Caenorhabditis elegans: one gene and its partners. The protein of the gene in region 2 purifies or fractionates together with the protein of the main gene of each other region. This does not show direct contact. Each region holds a gene or a part of one and is shown on either strand. Other genes may lie near its edges.

Evidence for each region.
Region 1: the proteins of mlc-2 (region 2) and ctsa-3.1 fractionate together in Caenorhabditis elegans (co-fractionation; one large-scale study listed by BioGRID). This does not show direct contact.
Region 3: the proteins of mlc-2 (region 2) and ugt-49 fractionate together in Caenorhabditis elegans (co-fractionation; one large-scale study listed by BioGRID). This does not show direct contact.
Region 4: the proteins of mlc-2 (region 2) and myo-1 purify together in Caenorhabditis elegans (affinity purification with mass spectrometry, with the first as the bait; one large-scale study listed by BioGRID). This does not show direct contact.

The regions. Positions count from the first base shown.
Region 1 is NC_003280.10:7,230,552-7,236,545, reverse strand, and holds ctsa-3.1 (Serine carboxypeptidase ctsa-3.1), read right to left. Parts: upstream 3,694-5,994; 5' UTR 3,693-3,693; coding exon 3,526-3,692; intron 3,007-3,525; coding exon 2,844-3,006; intron 2,386-2,843; coding exon 2,249-2,385; intron 2,199-2,248; coding exon 2,060-2,198; intron 2,018-2,059; coding exon 1,926-2,017; intron 1,872-1,925; coding exon 1,704-1,871; intron 1,663-1,703; coding exon 1,479-1,662; intron 1,431-1,478; coding exon 1,092-1,430; intron 1,047-1,091; coding exon 711-1,046; 3' UTR 626-710; downstream 1-625. Other genes in the region: aqp-1 (Aquaporin), read left to right, coding at 1-14, 60-390, 438-618.
Region 2 is NC_003284.9:17,454,829-17,458,561, forward strand, and holds mlc-2 (Myosin regulatory light chain 2), read right to left. Parts: upstream 1,759-3,733; 5' UTR 1,740-1,758; coding exon 1,602-1,739; intron 1,555-1,601; coding exon 1,422-1,554; intron 1,368-1,421; coding exon 1,219-1,367; intron 1,166-1,218; coding exon 1,073-1,165; 3' UTR 964-1,072; downstream 1-963. Other genes in the region: C36E6.2 (Nbr1 FW domain-containing protein), read left to right, coding at 420-607.
Region 3 is NC_003283.11:10,370,275-10,375,057, reverse strand, and holds ugt-49 (UDP-glucuronosyltransferase), read right to left. Parts: upstream 2,738-4,783; 5' UTR 2,719-2,737; coding exon 2,493-2,718; intron 2,448-2,492; coding exon 2,334-2,447; intron 2,289-2,333; coding exon 1,972-2,288; intron 1,923-1,971; coding exon 1,752-1,922; intron 1,706-1,751; coding exon 1,546-1,705; intron 1,441-1,545; coding exon 851-1,440; 3' UTR 797-850; downstream 1-796.
Region 4 is NC_003279.8:7,263,822-7,269,459, forward strand, and holds the start of myo-1 (Myosin-1), read right to left. Parts: upstream 3,237-5,638; 5' UTR 3,115-3,236; coding exon 3,046-3,114; intron 2,466-3,045; coding exon 2,193-2,465; intron 1,816-2,192; coding exon 1,473-1,815; intron 1,421-1,472; coding exon 1,316-1,420; intron 1,264-1,315; coding exon 1,096-1,263; intron 1,049-1,095; coding exon 1-1,048. Other genes in the region: twk-1 (Potassium channel domain-containing protein), read right to left, coding at 5,537-5,638. UniProt on the Caenorhabditis elegans protein: Muscle contraction.

The DNA of each region.
Region 1 (5,994 bases), on a different chromosome or scaffold from region 2:
CTCTTATTACTATGGTATCCTACTTATTCTCCCTGTTGAAATTATTTTGAAATTTTCAGAACAATTCAATGCATTTGATGGAGGTAATCGCACAATCCTCGGAGCTACTGGAACAGCTGGTTGCTTTGCCAGTTATCCATCTCCAAATCTTGGAGTATGGGGTCCATACATTGATCAGTGCGTCGGTACCGGAGTTCTCGCATACTTCCTCTGCGTTGTTATTGATGAGAGAAATCAAATTCCAAAAATTTGGCATCCAATGTTCTTCGGATTCTTGGTAATGATGATCGGAACTGGATTTGGAATGAACATTGGATATCCAATTAATCCAGCAAGAGATCTCGGACCACGACTCTTCAGTTATTTTATCTATGGTCCAGGTGTTTTCCAGTTAGTTCACAGTGTCAATTCACAAATATCTCATATAATGATTTCAGCTCTCCATACCCTAACTATTGGCTAGCTCCAGCCATTGCTCCATTTGTTGGTGCTCTTGTCGGTGGATGGTTCTATCATTTCTCCCTTGGAATGCACAATCCTGACATCGAAGAAGCCGACGATATTTTTGTTCAACAACCACCAAAATCTGTAGAGCAACAAAAATTGCTTCAAGCTTAAATCTAATAATTATGTACATTTTTATTGAATTTTCAAATGTTTAAAAAACATTACTACATATATAGTCTTGAATCAATAAATTAGAAAAAAACTTAGAAAACGATGTTGAGCAATACAGCGAACATAGAAATGAAGAAAGCAACAGTTGATGAGGATCCACTGTCAACCAAATCAGAAAGTTGAATGTTTGGATTGAAATTATCTTGACTGGTATAGTTGATAACAACATTCTTTGGAGCCCAAACGAAGTTGGAGATCATTTGAACTGATGGTCCTGCACGATCATATGGAACCATGTGTCCCGCTCCCTTTACAGTCAGAAGATCAATTGTGATCATAGCATTGTTCTTATTTTTGCCAGAGTAAGTTTGAACATATCCAGCAAGTTGTTGGTTGTTACTGTAATACCATGGGGTACGTGGCCCACTCTTAAAATATAATTGGAATATTATTTAACGGTAGAAGTGACTTACGGTAAGTCCATTATCTTTAGCAACTTGAAGAATGTGCTTGGCATCTCCCAAATAGTTACAAACAGTATCGACATCTCCATTGTAGATTAAGAAACGGAAGTCGGTTGTGAGATTTGTGATGATATTGTTGAAGAATCGATTGGTAGTGTTGTATTTCAGAGTATAATTATTATAGATAGACATTCTACAATCTTCCCATGTGTTTTTCTGATCCTTCCATGCTTGTGGAATGTTGAGAGCATTCTGCACATTGTCACTGTTCAAATACTTTGACACAGCATCTTCATTCCAGCAAAAATATCCAAATTGATTGTCATTTGAGAAACGGTTGACAAGAGTCTGAACAATGAAGCAAGCGTTTCAATTAACAAACTAAGATAAACTAACAGCAGTGTTCTTTGCCAAATTGGAAGTTCCTTGGAAGTTTCCGAGTTGTTGATATTGCAAGTTCTTCTGGACCGAAGATACTCCTTGCATAGCACTTCTCTTGTGTCTCTTTCCTCCAGCTGGTGGTGGGGCTTGAAAGACAGATTTGTCATAGCATTCTTGGTAGAAGTTGTACTGGTCAAATCTGAAAATTACGTTAAATATATAAAATACAAAATCTCATACCCTTCATTTCCTAAAGCGTTTTGCGAAATGAGTGGTTGAATGAGGTTTCCGCAGTATGAGCCATCTCCTACGTAGTCAATTTTATTTTGAGAAGTTGTGAATTGAGAGAAATCAAAACTGTCAACGTCGGCTCCCTTTGAACAGTTTGCTTTGATGTCGGCCCAATTCCTGAAAAAATAAGTTCAGTTTAAAACGAACAAAACAGTTTTAAAATGTTCTTACTGCTCAGAGACACGTCCATGGTAGGCACTCCAAAGGGTAAGGGCATTGAGAAGTCCAGCTACATTCATGAATCCGTTTCCAATTGCAGAACCCTAAATTAGACATGTTTTGAAGTAATTGTGTAATTATTTTACCTGGAAGTTTTTGTTTGGAAAGGGTTGATTGGGATTGTTGATTCCTTGTACAATCAAATCGGTCAACATTGGAATATAAATTCCTGCATACGATTCTCCAGAAAGATAGAATGTTCTGTTCGTATATTTAGGTTGAGCACTGAAATTTAACATTTTTCTGTTACGTATCTAGACTTAAAATTCAATTACACATTGAAGAAGTTTGTGAGAGCCTGATAATTCTGTGCAGCTGATTGATCATCATTAGCTTGGAAGTATCCTGGAGTAGTAGTGTCATATGAATAACCAACTCCAATTGGGGATTCTAAGTAGAGAACGTTGGCTTTCTGAAATTTTAAATATTAAATTTATAGTTTTTATTATCCTAATACATGTCCCTGTCCCTTTTTATGTTTCAATTTGGTTTCATTTTTAAACTACACAAAGTTGTGTTTTATGTGCCTAAATTTGTTATCTATACAATAAATGAGGTTTCAACGATAAATTGCAAAAAGCAATAAAACTTGAAATTTGCGTAAGCAAGACTATTTTCTATTCAAACTTTCTTTTCTCTATCAATTCAACGAGAACTAAATATCATAACGTGGTCTTCGAATGGTAATTAGCAAACCGCCTTTGATCGAAAAGAGTTGTAGTCTAAACTGAAAGTTATGATTATCATTTCGGTTTTCATAGGCAACCGAGTGTTACAGGAATCTGATTTGAAATTCTTTTAACTACATAATAAAACTCTGGTCTTTGGAATTGCAAACAGCTTATCCTTTTCCCCAAAAATAATAATTACCGCATTCCATGCATATGGGTTCTCATAAAGAGTTTGTCCATCAAAGTTAACATAAAATGGACCAAGTTCTTCGAAAAGTCCTCCAAGAGATGAGCATCCTGGCCCTCCATTGAACCATACCAATAATGGATCAGTATCTGGATTTGATCGAGATTCTGTCAACCTGGAAGCACAATTTCTTTTTAATTTGTATTTCCAATAATTTTATCAGTTTTCGCATGGACAGCGAAAAACGTTATCAGTAAATTTTTAATTGTATTTGCAGAGAATTACACAAGAATTATGACTGAATTAGATGACTACTTGATGCTTCGTGAGGTGGAAATTTTAAATTAAACAGAAGAAATAGTGACAACAAAATGAATTGATGATTATTCAATTGAGAAATGACATTTCAAGGGAACTTTTGAAATTTTGATGAGAAATACGTTTTGAAGTTCAATGAGTTCCGAAAATAGAATGATCTTCAATCATTGTGTAAACTGCGAAATTTCACAAAAAAAACGTGCATTCGAGTAAGGAGTATACTTTTCAAAGAAGATCTAAGAAACTATATGAAAGCAAAAAGCTGGAATTTTGAGAAATTTTGAGAACTAATGAATTCGAAAAAAATACATTCACTAATGGTTCACTTGAAAATAAGACTTCAGATTTCCAGATTTGCCGAGAATATAAAACTCACATATAATGCATTTTCCATGTTCCATTTGCATTTGCATCGACATATCCAGAATATGACTTGAAATTGGCTTTGAACAAAAGACCGGGCAGATTCTGGATCAAATCCTTTTCTCCTTGAGATAGGACCGTCACAACTAGAAAAGCTACACCAAGTAGAGTTCGACACATTCTGAATAAAATGGACTCTCAATGATCAGAATTAATGAAAATCGTAATAAAAAATCTATAAAAATGCGGTAGACTCTAAAGAAATGAAGGTTGCATAGAGTTGCTAATTGATAAGAAGAAATATGCTTATCACTATAATAATTCGCTTTTTGAAGCCATCCTTTTTATGGTGTCGTATTGAAAAAAATGTGTTGCGAGTGCCAGTATGGAAACAAAGTTCGAGTCGTAAAAAATACTACAATTCTGGCTGAATAGATGTGGGTTGGGTTTACCTGTCAAGAGCAAATAATGACAAGAAATAGAGAAAACTTTTTGGTTCTGATCATTCTCCACGAAAAAGCTTTCAAACTTAGAAACTTAGAATATGGAAGTACGCTTTTGAAGTGACAAATTTTTTCATCACGCTTCATTGTAGCTGTTTCAGTTTAGCCCTTTAAAACCTGTAAATCATGAAAGTCTCTGACAAATAAAATGACCGTATTTCCCCTATTAGACCCCTTTGCTCTTGTTTGACAGTCTCAGTCTCAGTATCTCAGTTGTCTTTAGTCATATTAAAGAAGTGTCAACGGACAAAACACGTACAAAATTTTTCTCTATATTTTGATTGTTGAAAATTTTTTGATAAACGTTAAGGCAACCGAGATATAAGCCGTCAAACCACAGGTGCAAGTAAAATTGAGAAAATATGCTATTTTAAAACAATAAAGCAGCCGATGACAATCAGGGTTCCGCCATTCACGGGGAAAAACGTGCGTTAGACCACGCCTTCTTTTCAAATGTAGATTTTTTGAAAGGCAAAAGTCCGATTTAGTTTTTCAGAGCGGAGGACGATTTTGGAGATGTGCAGATTTTTCAAAATTTTTTTAAAGGAACTTGATAGAGCACCAAAAATTACGATGTTTCATCCAAATCTCAAGTTTCTACGTTGGATATGAGGGATTTTATCGATGAAAATGGATTTTTTTTGGAAAATGGCCTGTAACCTATATTGAAGTTGAAGTTATTTGAAAAAAGTTTACAGATTATTTTTGAAAATATCTATAAAATGTTAAATCAATAAAAATATCTCACAAAAATCTTTCTTGTGGTAGATACACCGTTGTAACGGAAGAGGAACCAAAGTTTTTGGACGTTTTTTGGTAAAATAACTTTGAAGTCATGTATCTCTGAAACTAGGATACTTATCAATAAGCAGGTTTTTGTGACAGACAGATAAGATATTTTCCATTAATTTCTCAGTCAAACATTTTGTGCAAAAATTTCTGCTTTTCAAGATATACTTGTCACAAAATTGGTATTTATATAGCAATTGGAAACATTAATTGAGAGTTAGGTACTTTTCTCGCTTTAAGCTGAATTTCTCAAACAAAACAAAAAATATTAATATGAACTGAAGCTCTGTAAACTTTTCATACAATTTTGAAGCGTTTTTTCCGACTGGCAACTCTTGGAATATACTTTTCACCTGAAAAACTGTTGCCACTCTTAGATTCTAGAAATTTCAAACAGGAGTATTTTGACAACTAAGCATATTCAAAAGAAACTGCCTGCTGTGAAATTGATTGAAATTTCAATTCCTACAGTTTGCATCTAGTTTTGCACCAGTAAGGTTGGTATTTCCTAGAGATAGTAATCCATGAACAAAATTGCACAAATAATCTGAAACTAATTTTGATGAAACGGATGTATCTCATGAAATAAGCAAGTTATGAATGTCATATAAGTTAAAATAGGGTTTATAGATATTTTTTCACATTTCTCCACAAAATCTTTCCAAGAATTCAAACTTCAGTCGAGTTACAGACCATTTTCCAGAAAAATCCATTTTCATCGATAAAACCCTTCATATCCAACGCAGAAACTTGAAATGTGGACGAAACATCGCATTTTTTGGTGCTCTATCAAGTCCCATCAAAAAAATTTTGAAATTTCTACACATCTCCAAAATCGTCCTCCGCTCCAAAAAACGAAATCGGACTTTTGCCTTTCGGAAAATGGCAAAAAATCAAATTGGGATATTTGGGTCGAAAAATATGTTTTTAGAATGCTGAGAACACGTTATTTACGAATATCATGTTCATTTTTGATGATTTCTGTTTTGAAAAGATCTGAAATTAAAACGTGGACCTAATTTTCATTCTCGCGTGACACTTTTTATTTCCTTAAAATCACTTGAAAAACCGATCGAATTCTCAGTTATTAAAAAATTCACGTAAGAATCAATTTGCCTTCGATTTATTTTACTACGATTTATTTGTTTATTGATAATCAATAACGTTATTTATCTGTACAAGGTTCTTTG
Region 2 (3,733 bases):
TTTTGGGGTTTTTTAATCGGAAAATGAAAGAAATATACAAGAAAAATGCAAATAGTTCATGAAAAAATCACTGAAATTGCCTAAAACTGTAAAATATACTAATTTCAGGCTCGTTGTCGTCGTATCACATAATTTCAGAGTTTTAGGCAATTTCAGTGATTTTTTCATGAACTATTTGCATTTTTCTTGTATATTTCTTTTATTTTCCGATTAAAAAACCACAAAAATGAAGAAAATCAGTGAAATATAGAAAATAAATTTAAAATAAACCTTAAAACGTAAATATAAACTCAGGTTCAAAACGGCTTGTACAAATCAGCAAAGATAATTTTTTTGAAACTAATCGAATTTCTTCAAAGACTTAAATATTATTCAGCTACTTCAGAAACCTCATAATTTTAATGTTTCCACATTTTCAGAATCAATCTGGGTTATCATTCGAGTGCGGCCACTTACTGAAGCAGAAGCCGCGATGGAAGTCTCCGCGCAACCAATGGATCCATTCCATCGGCAACTCGCTGTGATGTCATTTGTGGAAGGACCAAGTAGCAGTGGGACACATCCATCTCCAGTGCCTGATCCACCTCAAGAGGACATGATGGAATGATTCGAGACCTTGTAAATTCTATTGTTATTATTGTGATGATCATCAATTATTTACCGTGGGATATCTTAATCAAATGTAAATTTCAATGCAGTTATTGAATCAAAAGTAATCTTCTAACTATTTTACTTTTAAAATTCAACGTAGCTCGGGTTATCAGACATCTGGTAACTCTGTAATGAACCTTATTGAAACATATTTTCTCATTAAGATTTGTTCCAATTGTGATAGACACCCAGTACAGATTTGTTGCCTTTTCCACCTCTCGCATTTCTTTTTCAAACTATTCATCACTTTTTTCCCCAATACCTATTAGCCTTTTTATAAAATAACATTAGAAGTCATTGGTATCAACTAATTTTATCACCACCATTTATTGCACTAATCCATTGAAAGATTATAATTGGAGAAATAAATGAGAAAGTATTATTTGAAAGAATGTAAGATTTGTGTGCAATTGCCGGATGTTTAGGCGCTGGCGAGCTCGTCTTGGGCTCCGGTGGTGATGAGGTGAGCGAATGCCTTGTAGTCAACCTCTCCTCCCTCGATTGGTGGCTTTCCCTGAAAGAAGAGGAATTGGTAAGTTTCAATGATTTCAGAAAGAATGAATTTACCTTGTACATAGCCTTGACCTCATCCTCGTCTAATGGCTCTCCTCTCTTGTTTTGAAGGATCTTGATAAGGTCGTCCTCCTTGATCTTTCCGCAGTCCTTCTTATCGAACATAGCAAAAGCTCCAACAATGGTGGCCTCTGGGTCAGTTCCTGAAATTATTGCAATAATGAATTGAATTCCATTAGAAAATCTGAAAAGCCTACCTGTCAATCTCTCCCCGAAAAGGGTGAGGAAGACGGTGAAGTTGATTGGTCCGGATGCCTCCTTGATCATGGCGTCGATCTGGCTGTCTGGGGCGATTTGTCCCATGGATGCGTAGAGATCCTTGAGGTCAGACTAAAAATTGTTCATTAGTATCATTTTAAAACTTAAAAAAAGCTAACCTTGTCGATGATTCCGTCCTTGTTCTGATCCATGATTCCGAAGGCCTCCTTGAACTCCTGGATGGTCTTCTGGTCGAATTGGGCGGCCTCGGATCCCGAGCGCTTCTTTGAGGACTTCTTCTTGGCGGCCTTGGACATGTTGGAAAAGGTTCTCTACCTGAAACTCAGTTATTTGTTTACAGGTAGCACACAAAATTGTCGAAACAATGATAGAAGTAAATTGCTTGGGAAACGAACAAATTAAAATTAAAAATGCACCCATGAAAAGTATGAAGAAGAAGCCTTTTCCAAGTCCCGATCTTGTCGAGAGCATTGAGATAATAATGGTTGGTTGGTAGGCGTATGGGAAGGAGGAGTAGCTGGATGGGAGGAATGTGATACGAAAAGAGACCGAGAGGAGGTGCTCTCTCCACGGCGGGCAAAGTTAGTAGGCAATTGGTGGAGGGTGGCAGATTCCCGGGATGCCGTTTGAGATAGAGTGTAACACAGCGGGCAGCGATCAGTTTTGCCAGCAGAGATAATGTGTCCCAAGCAGAAGCTCGACACAAAGAGCGCTAGAAAGAGCAGTGCCCGTGATCCGTGCGCCGTGTCTGTGCTCTCTTTGGGGATCTCAGACTTTCTGATCACCCTCACACGGCCGGGAAGATATACGCAATATCTGTTTGTGAAGAAACGACAAACGCAAATATCTACAGAGTTGCGGCAACGCATGGGGGAGAGAATTTTTGGAAAAGCCAACTGTTTGGCTTCGAATATTTTCTCAAGTACATCTCTCTCAAAAGCAGGTAAAAGTTAAGGTGGTAGGCTTTTTGCTGCGCGCAGAAAAGCGAGGGTGGAGAGCAGGGAATCTAGGGATTTTTGGGAGATGAATGATCAGAGTTGCACTGAGGGTGGCCCATTAACACAAAATAGGAATTAGAAAGAATATAACTTTGAATGTTGAATGAAAACATGTAACATCGAATATTGTTTCTAATGGCTGAAGACAAATTAACAAGTTCGTAAAAAGAGAACAATTGAAAGGAATGTTTATAAGTGGTTTTTATTGTTTTTCTAGCAAGAACTTTTCCGAAGATAAAAAATTGAATGTTCAGATTGTTTTGTATCTCATGAGCCCAGTAGAAATCTTTACTACTTCATAAGTATGGAAATCAAAATAAAACATTACAAAACATAAATTTTTCGAAAAATTGAAATTATGTTCAACAAAAATGCCAAGCGACTGGAAAATTGTATCCAATGTTTCTTTGCCAACTTTAAAATTGTATATTTTGTTTCTAGTAGTTGTGCTTGCTGATTATCAAAAAATTGAAGAAGACATTGTTCAACAATTGATTTTTAGAGGCGACAGCTAATCTGAACTTGTGATTCTAACGTGTTGTAACAAATTTTCAAAGCGCGTTTTCCAGACCATCATCGTACTTTTCAAAACATTAATGGTTTACTGTTTGAAGTTTTCAGAGGAAACATTTGATTTACACAAATTGTTGTAATTGGAATTAGAACTATTGTTTATGCTTCAATTTCGTTAAAGCAATTTTTTCACAATTTTGTTTGATGTATATTGGAAAAAAAAATTCAATTATTCATTTTACAAACGGAAATTGTGGAGTGATAATAATAATAACTTTTACGAACATTTGTAATACGCTCATAATAAACATTAAATGATTTTTTCAAATTTACAAACAAACCAAAAAATTAACTCTTTTCGAAGTAAAACGTTTCAAAAATAAGTTAACAAACAGGAAGCAAAATTAAAAGCGTTTCTGCCAGCTGACGCATTATCTTAAAAGCTGTTTTCAGATAAGAGCACTGGTAGACAGAACACTCAATAGAAAATCAGATGAAAAAGTTTGAAAGTTGAGGAATCAAAAAAGTTATCCTTGTTAATTTAGGATATGAGTAAGAACCTCTTGTCACACTAATTCTGATGGAAGGTTTTTTTTTCTGAATCGTTTCTGAATTGTCTCCAATGAGAGTATAGTTCGAAACACAATTTTTGTCTGTTATTCAATGACATCAAAATTATTGATTTCAAAAATAGCTGCAAATCCTAAAATCAAAAATCACTGCGTATGTCAAAACTTTGAAGATTGTGTGAAAATCAATATTTGCTCTGTTTCATCCTA
Region 3 (4,783 bases), on a different chromosome or scaffold from region 2:
CTTTAGCCTTCTTAGTTCCAGTGAATTCAGTTAATGGTTCATATTCAGTAATGAACATAACAACATCGTGACCTGCGTCAACGAGTGCATCAGCAATTCTTCCATTTGAAATTAAATGACTTCGACTAATGGATGGACTGTACACAAGAATAGAAGAAAAAGAACAAGAAGAAGGAGAAGAATAACTAATAAGGTCATAACAGTCACCTGCAACTTTTTCTAAATCAATAATTTTTTAGAATAAAAATTTAAAATGGGTTCCAAAATACTTTAAAACTGATTAGAACTGAACCGCAATATAATAAGACAGAACATTTGAAAAGTATACAACCTGAAGTTTATCAATTTATATAACTTTTTCATTCTGGCGGTGTGCTACTCGTTGTCAACTACGGTTTTTGGCAGAAAAATGTCGTGCTTTGTAAACGCAGAATGTTTTATTTTCAACAGGAAAAAAGATGATAATAATTGGAACACTAATTGATGGTAGAAAGTGGTTTCTTCAATTTTAAGGCATTGGTTGAAAAATCTAGCAGTGGAAGATGTTTTTAAGCTGTCTGGAATTTCCGTTTCTTGCACGATTCGTTTAACCCGTTGTTTTGGGCCACAAACAGTTTGAAACAAATAGAAATTCAAAAGCCAGACTTCAGATTGTCTGGAATCCGAAAAAATACCGGCCGGTACCACATTGACGCTTTTAAAATTTTTAGAATGAGGCCATAACATTGTAGAAAAGATTAAAGTCTACTTTCTATTTTCGTTAAGTCTTGTATGCTTAATTCACCTGAACACCTACTGGAAAATAACATTTATTTTTAATATTTTTATTAAAAGAGACTATAAATATCAGCTAATTATTTTTCTTAGATTTTTTAATATTCGACTGAGATCTCTTCTTACAGCACAGAAACTTGAAAGCATAAATGAAAACGTGAAGAACAGCAACGAACACGAATAGGACAAAAGCAATAACATCAAGATTATAATAAATAATTGTATTTAATCTTGATCCTTCCACGTGTAACTCTTCCAAAACGCCATGATCAATTGCAAATTGTGTCCATTTTGTAAGGCGTTCTTCTGGACTGAATGGCTTGTCTCTCATCATTTTCCCAATTCTTATCGCATTTTTTTTGTAACTTGGAGTGTTTAAAACTGTTAGAACTGTGTTTTTGAAGCTTTCATATCCAATATCCAATTTCAGAAGAACTTTGCCAATTCCTCTCTTTTCAACCATTCGTCCATTTCTAAATTGATCAGCAAAAACAGGAACAATTACAGTTGGAACTGCCTGGATAGCTGTTTCAACTAATCCATTAATTCCTCCATGCATTACAAAAAGCTTCAATCTTGGATGAGAAAGAATATCTACTTGTGGTAACCATTCAGCTACATCCACGTTTTTAATTCCTTCGACCAATTTCTTGGTATTATTGTCGCCTGCAAAAAATTAGTATCTTGACAAATTACTATGGGGGATTTATTTTTAAATTCTTCTGAAGCTTCTGCACTATTCGATGTACTCTGGAACCGTCAATTATTTACCTTTGGCAATTTTAATAAGGAAATGATAATCTGATATTTCCTGGATTGCACGCAATACCCCTTCCTTTGCCGCTGCTGGTAGATCTCCAAATGGTATGATTGAACCAAGTGAAATGATTACGACACCTTCTTTTCCTTTTGACATTATGTTTGTGAACTTCTAAAAAACTATATTCAGATAATTTTAAAATCAAATATTGTGTAACCTTATCAAGTGGTTTGCTAACTTTTGGAATTCCCAATCCACCGACATAAATTGCTTTTGTGATAGTTGGTCTTGGTAAATCAAGTACTTCATCGGAATTTACAAAGCAAAGTGAAGAGTTTGCAGCGATTTCTCTGACATTTGGGAAGTCTGGGATGTACTTACGGAAGACCTGTGATTAGTGAAAAAGATTAGTTTTAGGTTAAATTAAAATAAACTACCTCTGTAGTTCCATCAGTTCCGTATCTATGAATAAGGATTGAACCAATTTTCATATACAAGTTGAAAGTTCTCTGCCAAAAATCCATCTTATCACCATTGTCATTTTCTTCGATTGTTGGAACATACGAACTTGGTGCTGGAATTCCCAAATTATAACTAACTGCATCCATAATTGGTGTAGTTGAAATCCATAAATGATTTTTAATTCCAAGATATCTGACAATTCCAACTCCACACAAATCAATTTGTTCACTGAATGCCACGTCGAAGTTGTAAGCTCTCAGTTGTTCTAATTCCTCGCGTCTTGTCATTAAATCTAAATTTTAAAAAATGTTTCGAAAATAATATTGGGTCTTGTCACCATCACACGCGCCTGTGCACGTTTTCTCAAACATTAATCTTTCCAAAAAGCTTAATCTGGAGCTCGATAATAGGTATTCTCCGATTCCATCCATGTCTTCAGCAAACTTTGTACCTGAAACAGTGTTTTTAGTGTTGTTAGAGTCAAATCATAACTCACTAAATCCTTTCATAGTGATAACTTTAGCCTTCTTAGTTCCAGTGAATTCAGTTAATGGTTCATATTCAGTAATGAACATAACAACATCGTGACCTGCGTCAACGAGTGCATCAGCAATTCTTCCATTTGAAATTAAATGACTCCGACTTATGGATGGACTGTACACAAGAATTTTTCCTGCATCAACTGCTAGAAGAGATAGGAGAAGAAATAAAAAGGTATACATGCCCAAGATGGATCTGAAATTCAAAACGTTCAAATTCACGTATTATCAACTCCTGAAACTACTGAAAATAAAAAAAAGATTCAATAGAATGCACATTCGAAAAATCGAATACGAACGTGAAATATAACAATTATCTTACTGTTAAAAACACTTTGTGTGTCTTATCTATAAATTCTTCTATACCCATTTTCATCGAACCTTTATCAATTTAGTGAAAGGTCGATAAAATTCAAGAAGCTACAAAGAACCACGTTTTCACATGAATAGTACTAGAAATTCAACAAAATAAAAATTAAAAAAAACAAGAGAAACACACAGTGAAAAATGAAAAAAATAATCGAATCATGGAACGATTGGCAGCGGAAACAGAAATGAAATATGAAGGGAGAGAAATGGCAGACAGTAGCACCCTAACAATTTTCATTTCAATGAATCAGAATTCATTGGAGAATGAAGAACAAAAAATATATGAAAATTATTTTTTCACCTACGAAATCACAAAATGAGAAATCTGAAATTACATTTGATGGTTCACTTTTACAAACTCGAATAACCCATATTTTATAGAAAAATTTAAAATGCAGGTCTTTAATTTTTTAAGTTTTGATATTTTTAAAAAATTGGTTTCTTCACTTCTTAATACTGAAAGGAAATGAAGCATTATGGGAGAACTTTGTTCGTAACTTGTTCTTTAGGAAAAAAATAGTGCAGATGTCGTCTGGCACAAATTGATTCAACAATGATCTCGACAGTATTTTGACTTATTGGTCGAAACATCTACTCTAAAAAATACCGTGTTTTGTAGACTATTTCTAGTGAGTGCTTGTAGTGGTTAGACATAAGAATTAGATGGTGATACAGAGAAAACACAACCATTCACTGATACATTGACAGTTTTTGGACAAATAGTGACTGATGACAAGAATAGAAAATGACACGGGAACAAGATTGTTTGATAGGTAGAACCCGAGAATAGATTACTGATACGAGAGAGACGCAGATGGTTGTTGTGAATTGTAATAATTGAACTACATGTGACACGGCGAGAATGGTTATGGGAATTTTTGAGCGATTTTAAGATCCTGAGAAAAATGTTTGGGCGTACTTTGTTGGCAAACATGAAACAAGTTTACCAAACGAGGGAATTTTGTGGGGTAAGGTATGATTCCTGAATGCCAGAACGAAAATTCAGGTTTTTAATTCTTAAGTTTTGATATCATGAAAAAATGAGTTAGAAAGTTGAAGAGTATGGAAGAAACATACGCGTCTAAATAAGATGGAAAAACTCTATAATCTTCTGCAAGTATAGATAAGATATCAAATTCCTATTATGGACTGTCACTTATTTATTAGATATACCATTTACCTACACTTGTAAATCATATCTTATCTGCCAAGTTGGTACATCCTTACTATTAGTCTCAGGTCCTGACAATAATGATTTCAGAAAATCCCAAATGTAGTAAACCTTCGAAAAATAACTTATTCGATTTTTGAACTTTGAAAAGGGTTTCGGGTTATTCTCTGCAAACAAATACAAACAGCTTTCCTATCTGAAATATATATTTCAGATGTATACAGAACATGTAACGCATACACTCTAGCTACCTTATTACTGAATTTCATTGAAATCCCTATTAGTACTGCACTCTAATAGCTACTTTTGCAACACCAAACCGCAAAAATCCAAAGATTTCCAATACATATGTTTTATCAGTTTATAGTCTCATTTTTCGCCCCTATTTTTGGTGCCTTCCTACTTAAAATTCCGATTGGTGTACCAAAAATGAGTAGTCTCAAAATCGTAATATATCCTTTGTTAGTCTTAACAGTCTTCTTAACAGAACAGGCACTCAATAAGACCAAATGAAAAATAAATATGTACTAATTGGAGAAATACAGTTTGCTGCCTTTATGGAAGTTTCAAAATGTAAAAAATCCAAATATCCATATGATATCGAAGTCTCAATAATTTGATTTTGTTGAATTCATTGAACTTTTACAAATGTAATCCATTCGTCTGAAATATTCTTTGTCTGAAATATTTTTGAATGTCCTATTGATT
Region 4 (5,638 bases), on a different chromosome or scaffold from region 2:
TTGTGAAGCATAGTCATGAGCTTGTTGAGAGATTCTCTGTACATCATGGATACAGTCATGAAAGATCCAGACTTTCCTCCCTTGCGACCACCTCCGGCCTTAGCGGCGGCAGCAGCTTCTTCTTGGGTGGTGTAATCTTGCCAGATTTCGACAAGAAGGTCGTTCTTCTTCGAAGCCTTCATGACGGAGACAACGGTGTCGTTGAGAGGATCCTTGTTCTTCTCGAGCCAGTTCAACACGTTGTAACGGACAGTTCCGGCGTAATGCCGCATGGCGAAGTGAGCCTCTCCTTGCTTTCCCTTTGGTGGTTTTGGCTTTTCGAAGTTTGGATGCTTTCCAAGATGTTGATCGGTAAGCTTCTGGGCAAGAGTCATGTCAGTAGCCTTTGGAACAATACACTCCTCATCAAGCATAGAGATGATACCGAGTGGCTTCTCAATAAGCTCGATACAAGCTTGGAGATCAAGTCCGAAATCAATGAATGTCCATTGGATTCCTTCACGGGCGTACTCTTCCTGCTCAAGAACGAACATGTGATGGTTGAAGAATTGTTGGAGTTTTTCGTTGACGAAGTTAATCCAGAGCTGTTCGAAGGAATTGAAGTCGAAGATTTCGAATCCAGCAATATCGAGTACTCCGATGAAATAATCACGATCAATTCCCTTTTGATCAAGAGTAAGATTACATTTCTTGACAAGCCAGTGGAAGACACGAGCGTATAACCCCTTAGCCATGGCTCCAATAGCCCAGTGAACTTGATCAACGTTCTGTCCCTTGGATACCCATTCGGTTCCGACCTTGACTCTTGGAGACACCAAAGCCTTAAGGAATTGATCGACATCAATTCCGTACATGTTACAAGCTCTCTCAGCTTCATCTTGGCCATCTGGCTCGGCTTGCTCCTCACGTGGGCGTTGCTTGAATTTCATGTTACCCATGTGCATGTGAGCCGACATGAGTCTATAACAATCCATCTTCTCGGTGGGCGAGAATTTGAGAACATCAAAGGCCTCGTCGGTCAATTGGAACTCCTCAGTGTCATCGATTCCTGGAATAAAACAAGTTAATCTCATTCTCCAGAAATACAAAACATACCATCAATGAGCAACTCAGCTTGAGCAACAAACCAATAGTTGGAAATTGGATGGTTGAGAAGAAGCTCGTCACGGAGTTGTGGCTTAAAATCTGAGTAGATTTGGTAGAAGATATGGTAACAACGCTCTCCTGGAGCTTGACGGATGACACGAGATTTCTCGAGAAGATCTGAACAATTTACGATTTTCGTAATAACTTCTTATCATTATTATCAACTTACAGTGTTCAATATCGCAGGAAGCAAGAGTTCCGTGCTTGTTGAAGTGAATACGGATGAACTTTCCGAAACGGGAAGAATTGTTGTTACGGACAGTCTTGGCGTTACCTAAACAACCAAATTATCAGACAAGTGTTAATTTTTTAATTTATGTCTGTACCGAAAGCTTCCAATACTGGATTGGTTTGAACGATCTGGTCTTCAAGGGTAACTTCCTTCTCTCCCTCCTTCAAAGCAGCCTTTTGTGAAGCTCCGACGGTGGCAAAGTAGCAAATAACCTTCTTTGTGTTTTCAGTCTTTCCGGCTCCAGATTCTCCGGTAATAAGCATAGACTGATTCTCATGGTCTTGAAGCATGTAACGGTAGGCTTGATCAGAGACAGCGAACAAATGAGGTGGCATCTCGGTACGACGCTTGCCCATGAACATACGAGCAACAGAGTCAGTGTAAATTGGGAGACGTTTGTATGGGTTGATGACAACGCAGAAAAGTCCAGAGTAGGTCTGAAAATGGGCAAATTGGAACATTTTGTTTCAGTCAATATCCCATTTTTATAGAACTTACTTCTTTAAATTTCAGTAGTATTCAAATTTAGTTATTTTTTGGAACGATATTTTTATATTCTCAATACTGCCTTTGTTGAATCACATATTTTTAGTACCATTCCAATTTCAGTCCAAAATTCCAATATAAATTTTCTCTTTACTCACTGTGCACATTGAGCATGACTCTCTTTGTTTCTCATCGTCTGTCTCGATCCACTTAAGATAGCATTTTGCCACTTTTGCGTGGGCGCACTATTTGCCTATCCAACTACGCATTTTCGCAGATCTTTTTTCCGTGTTTCTATTTGAAGTTTTTTGAAACTGAAAAAACTTACATAGATAAGCATAGCAGCGTAACGGGAACGCAAATTCCACAGAACGGAGGCGTCATTAAGGAAAGTCAAGTTGGACATGTCTTCGGTTTTCTCGAACTTTGGTGGATTGACTTCTTGAACGATATCCTTCTTCAAAGTTACATCTTTGCCTCCGGCGGTAACGATAACAGTATCGGCCTTTGGTCCTGGACCCTTAATAACTCCCTCAATGTATCCTTCTTCGGCATCTGGAATCCAGACGTTCTTCTTCGAATCGTATGGGCGGGATTGATCCTGTAAAATAAAAAAAATATAAAAATTAATTTATATTCATACATAGTTATAAAATAATTATTATCCTAAATATCAAAACGGTGAAGTTTAGAAGCTTTAAAAATAACGATCTACCGAAAAACCGGTAAGAATTTTAAGAGATTGAACCTTGAAAATATGTTTAAAAAAGTAGCCAAGAAACAATTTTTAATATTTTGCTGTAAAAATGCTCACTTAACCACTTTAAAATAACTCTATTGTAATTGAAAAAGTTTCATTTTAAAGTTTATCAGAACATATTCAACAAGTAAAATAAAGATTGAATCTTGTTCTAGTTGGAAAATTAAATTGAATTGTTTCTATACTCAAAATAGATGAAATATTATTTGTCGAGAGAAGGACAAATTGGGAAAATACGGTATTTTATTAGGTTCAAAACTGAAGGAACAATTCGTTATTAGAAGTGTATAAAAAGCAGCGACTTCAGATAAATTTCGAATATTTTGGAATTTGAGAAGATTAGGATTTATGAGGAGAAAAAATACGTCGAATGTAAACCTAGGAAAAAGTAGAAAGTAAAATGAAAGAAGTAAAATCTTACCGCGAGCTGTTGCTCTCTCGACCTTTTCAGGTACTGCCATCCTGGGTCCTTCTCGTGTTCGAGCGACATTCTTGATTTGTTTCAGTGGAAATTAAAACGAACGGCTAATTGAAAAATGAGGCTAAACAGGTGGGTGACTTCTTCTTTTTCTTCCTACTGCTGCACTGCACACAGCTCCACACTACTGTGCTCTGCAGGGACGGATAATAGTTTGGCACACACAAGAGAGAGCTTCACTCGGCACACTTCATAGGGCGGAGCAACTCAAACTCCCCCTCATCTTCCTCTCTTGCTTAGCGCCCGTGCGCAAGAAAGGGGGCTCTCCGATATCCACACAATGAACTGTTGCCGAGAGCATCAAACGTCTCTTGGATGTGCATTGTCCATACGTTTTGAGCTTTTGCGTCGCCAGTCCAAGTACTTTATCTTTCAGGTTCATCGAAAGAGTATGTTAAATTGAGAAACGAAGAGATTACTGTAGAACTTGTTGAAAAAATCAGAGGAGGGGGTTCTTTCGGAATGAGCCCGCGCTTTTTTGAGCACACATTATTATTGGATAGAGACATACGTAAGAGATTTTTGAGAGTAAGCGCTTGGAACTTGTGGGAGTAGATAAAAAAATGTAGAAAAAAAATTAAGGGATTCATTCTTAGTTTACTTATATTTGTATAAAAAATTGGAATCAGTGATTTCAGTAACCTGGACCAGCAAACTGGTCTTATTTTATTATTAGAAACAACACTATTAGAACATTAATGAATACTGTGTAAGAAATCCGAATAATAATAATAGATCTAAATCGGATTTGGACACAATTATTTAGAAAAATTTTAAAAAAAGCGACGTTTTGAGTTTAAAAAAATATTTTTGCTTCCATCGTGTTCTTTGAAGTACATTCAAAGTTGGATGCTTTGTCGTTGAAAACATTTGTCTACATTAAAATTCAGAAATCCATCAAAAAATTTAACATGAGAAAATGTTATATAGAAACTGTGCTGCCAAATAATATTCAATATAGTGTACCTTAATACCTCAAGCAATTTTATAAGTATTTATTTTTTTTGTCAAACCATGATATTCAACCTTAACGTTTTCATTTAAAAATCACTATTTTGTATTCGCATAGTTCATTCGCGATGTGCGCATACTCATTTCGATTGAGGACCGGTACGATATGTGTTTCACGAAAACGAGCATCCGCAATGCACTCACTGCGAGGCGCGTTTGGCACATTGTGGCCGACTTCGTTGGGGATGTGTGCCACAATATCACTGCTGCGAAGATCTCTCTGGACATATTATGTGCTGATCAGATATTAGTCTCCCAGCTAGGAATTAACTTTTCAGATTATTAGTTATAGATTGTTTGAGAAACCTGTTTTTTTAACTGTTGCAAATAACGTTTTTTTTGTAGCTTAACCTAACTTTCATATCCATTCTCTCCAAAAATGTGTTGTAATAATGATGAGAGACCAAGTGGCATTGGTGAAGGAAGTTTCACCGAATCTCTCGACTTTTTTGTGCCATGTCTTTGCTCCCCCATCCCACACTCGGATACTTCTGCGCATCCTCCGCTCGCCTTTTCTTCGAATTTTTCTCGTTTTTCTAATAGTAATATTTGCCCAATTTCTCCCCCATCTATATCTCTCACACAGTATTTGTATGTGTGTGCGTAAATGTGTGTGTGTCTGTTTCTTTTTGAGATTTTCGCTCCTCTTATTCATCTTTGTTCTCGGGGCCACCCCCTGAAATTCAAAGTGAACACGGGAACACCGATCAAGTATGTACATCGACCAAGAATTGAAATCATTTTCTCCTAGTTAACAGTCTGGAAACACGAAAAGTTGAATTAGTTTGTTTCTCAGCAAATTGAAATAAAAAATTAAAGTTTCTAAAAACTTTTAAGAAGACTCTCGAAATTTCTAAGATTTCTGTGACATGTACCATTCTTTTTCCTTGTAAGTATTGCTGATCTACTAGAAAATGTTGTTTCAGAATTTTTTCTTAAAAAATTCAAAGGATAAGTTAATTAAAAAATTACAATAAATATATATGCAAAAAGGATTCTGATGGCAAAAATATTCCCAACATTTTCGATATTTTTTAAAGAATAATGAAATTAGTTAGTTTAAGACCTTTTTGAGTCTATTCCCACTTTAACCTTTACCAGAGAATGCCACTGTTTAATGACTGCGCTCAATATGCTGTCAATTTACTATTTTCTACTACATACAGTTATCAACCTATTAATAAAATGACTTTATGTTCTCAAGTTTGTTTCCAAATACTGAAACGAAAAATTAAGCTCGTAGTCAGCTGGGGAAAAATGTTTCATTTATTTCCATAGAAATAATACAATCAGAACAATGAGTTTCTTTCGTTAAAAAATTACGTATTAAAGCCACTTGTTTTGACCAGGTGAATTGACAAAGTAACACATTATTGATATCCGTTTCTTTTTTTGTTTCGAAAAATCTAAAATTGCAGAATATCTACACATCTTGTTGCAGTAAAAGTCGACCATCACTGTGTACCCGATGAGCTTTCTTCCGTAAATCAAGTGATGTAATTGCTTCTTTTGACTCAATATTGCT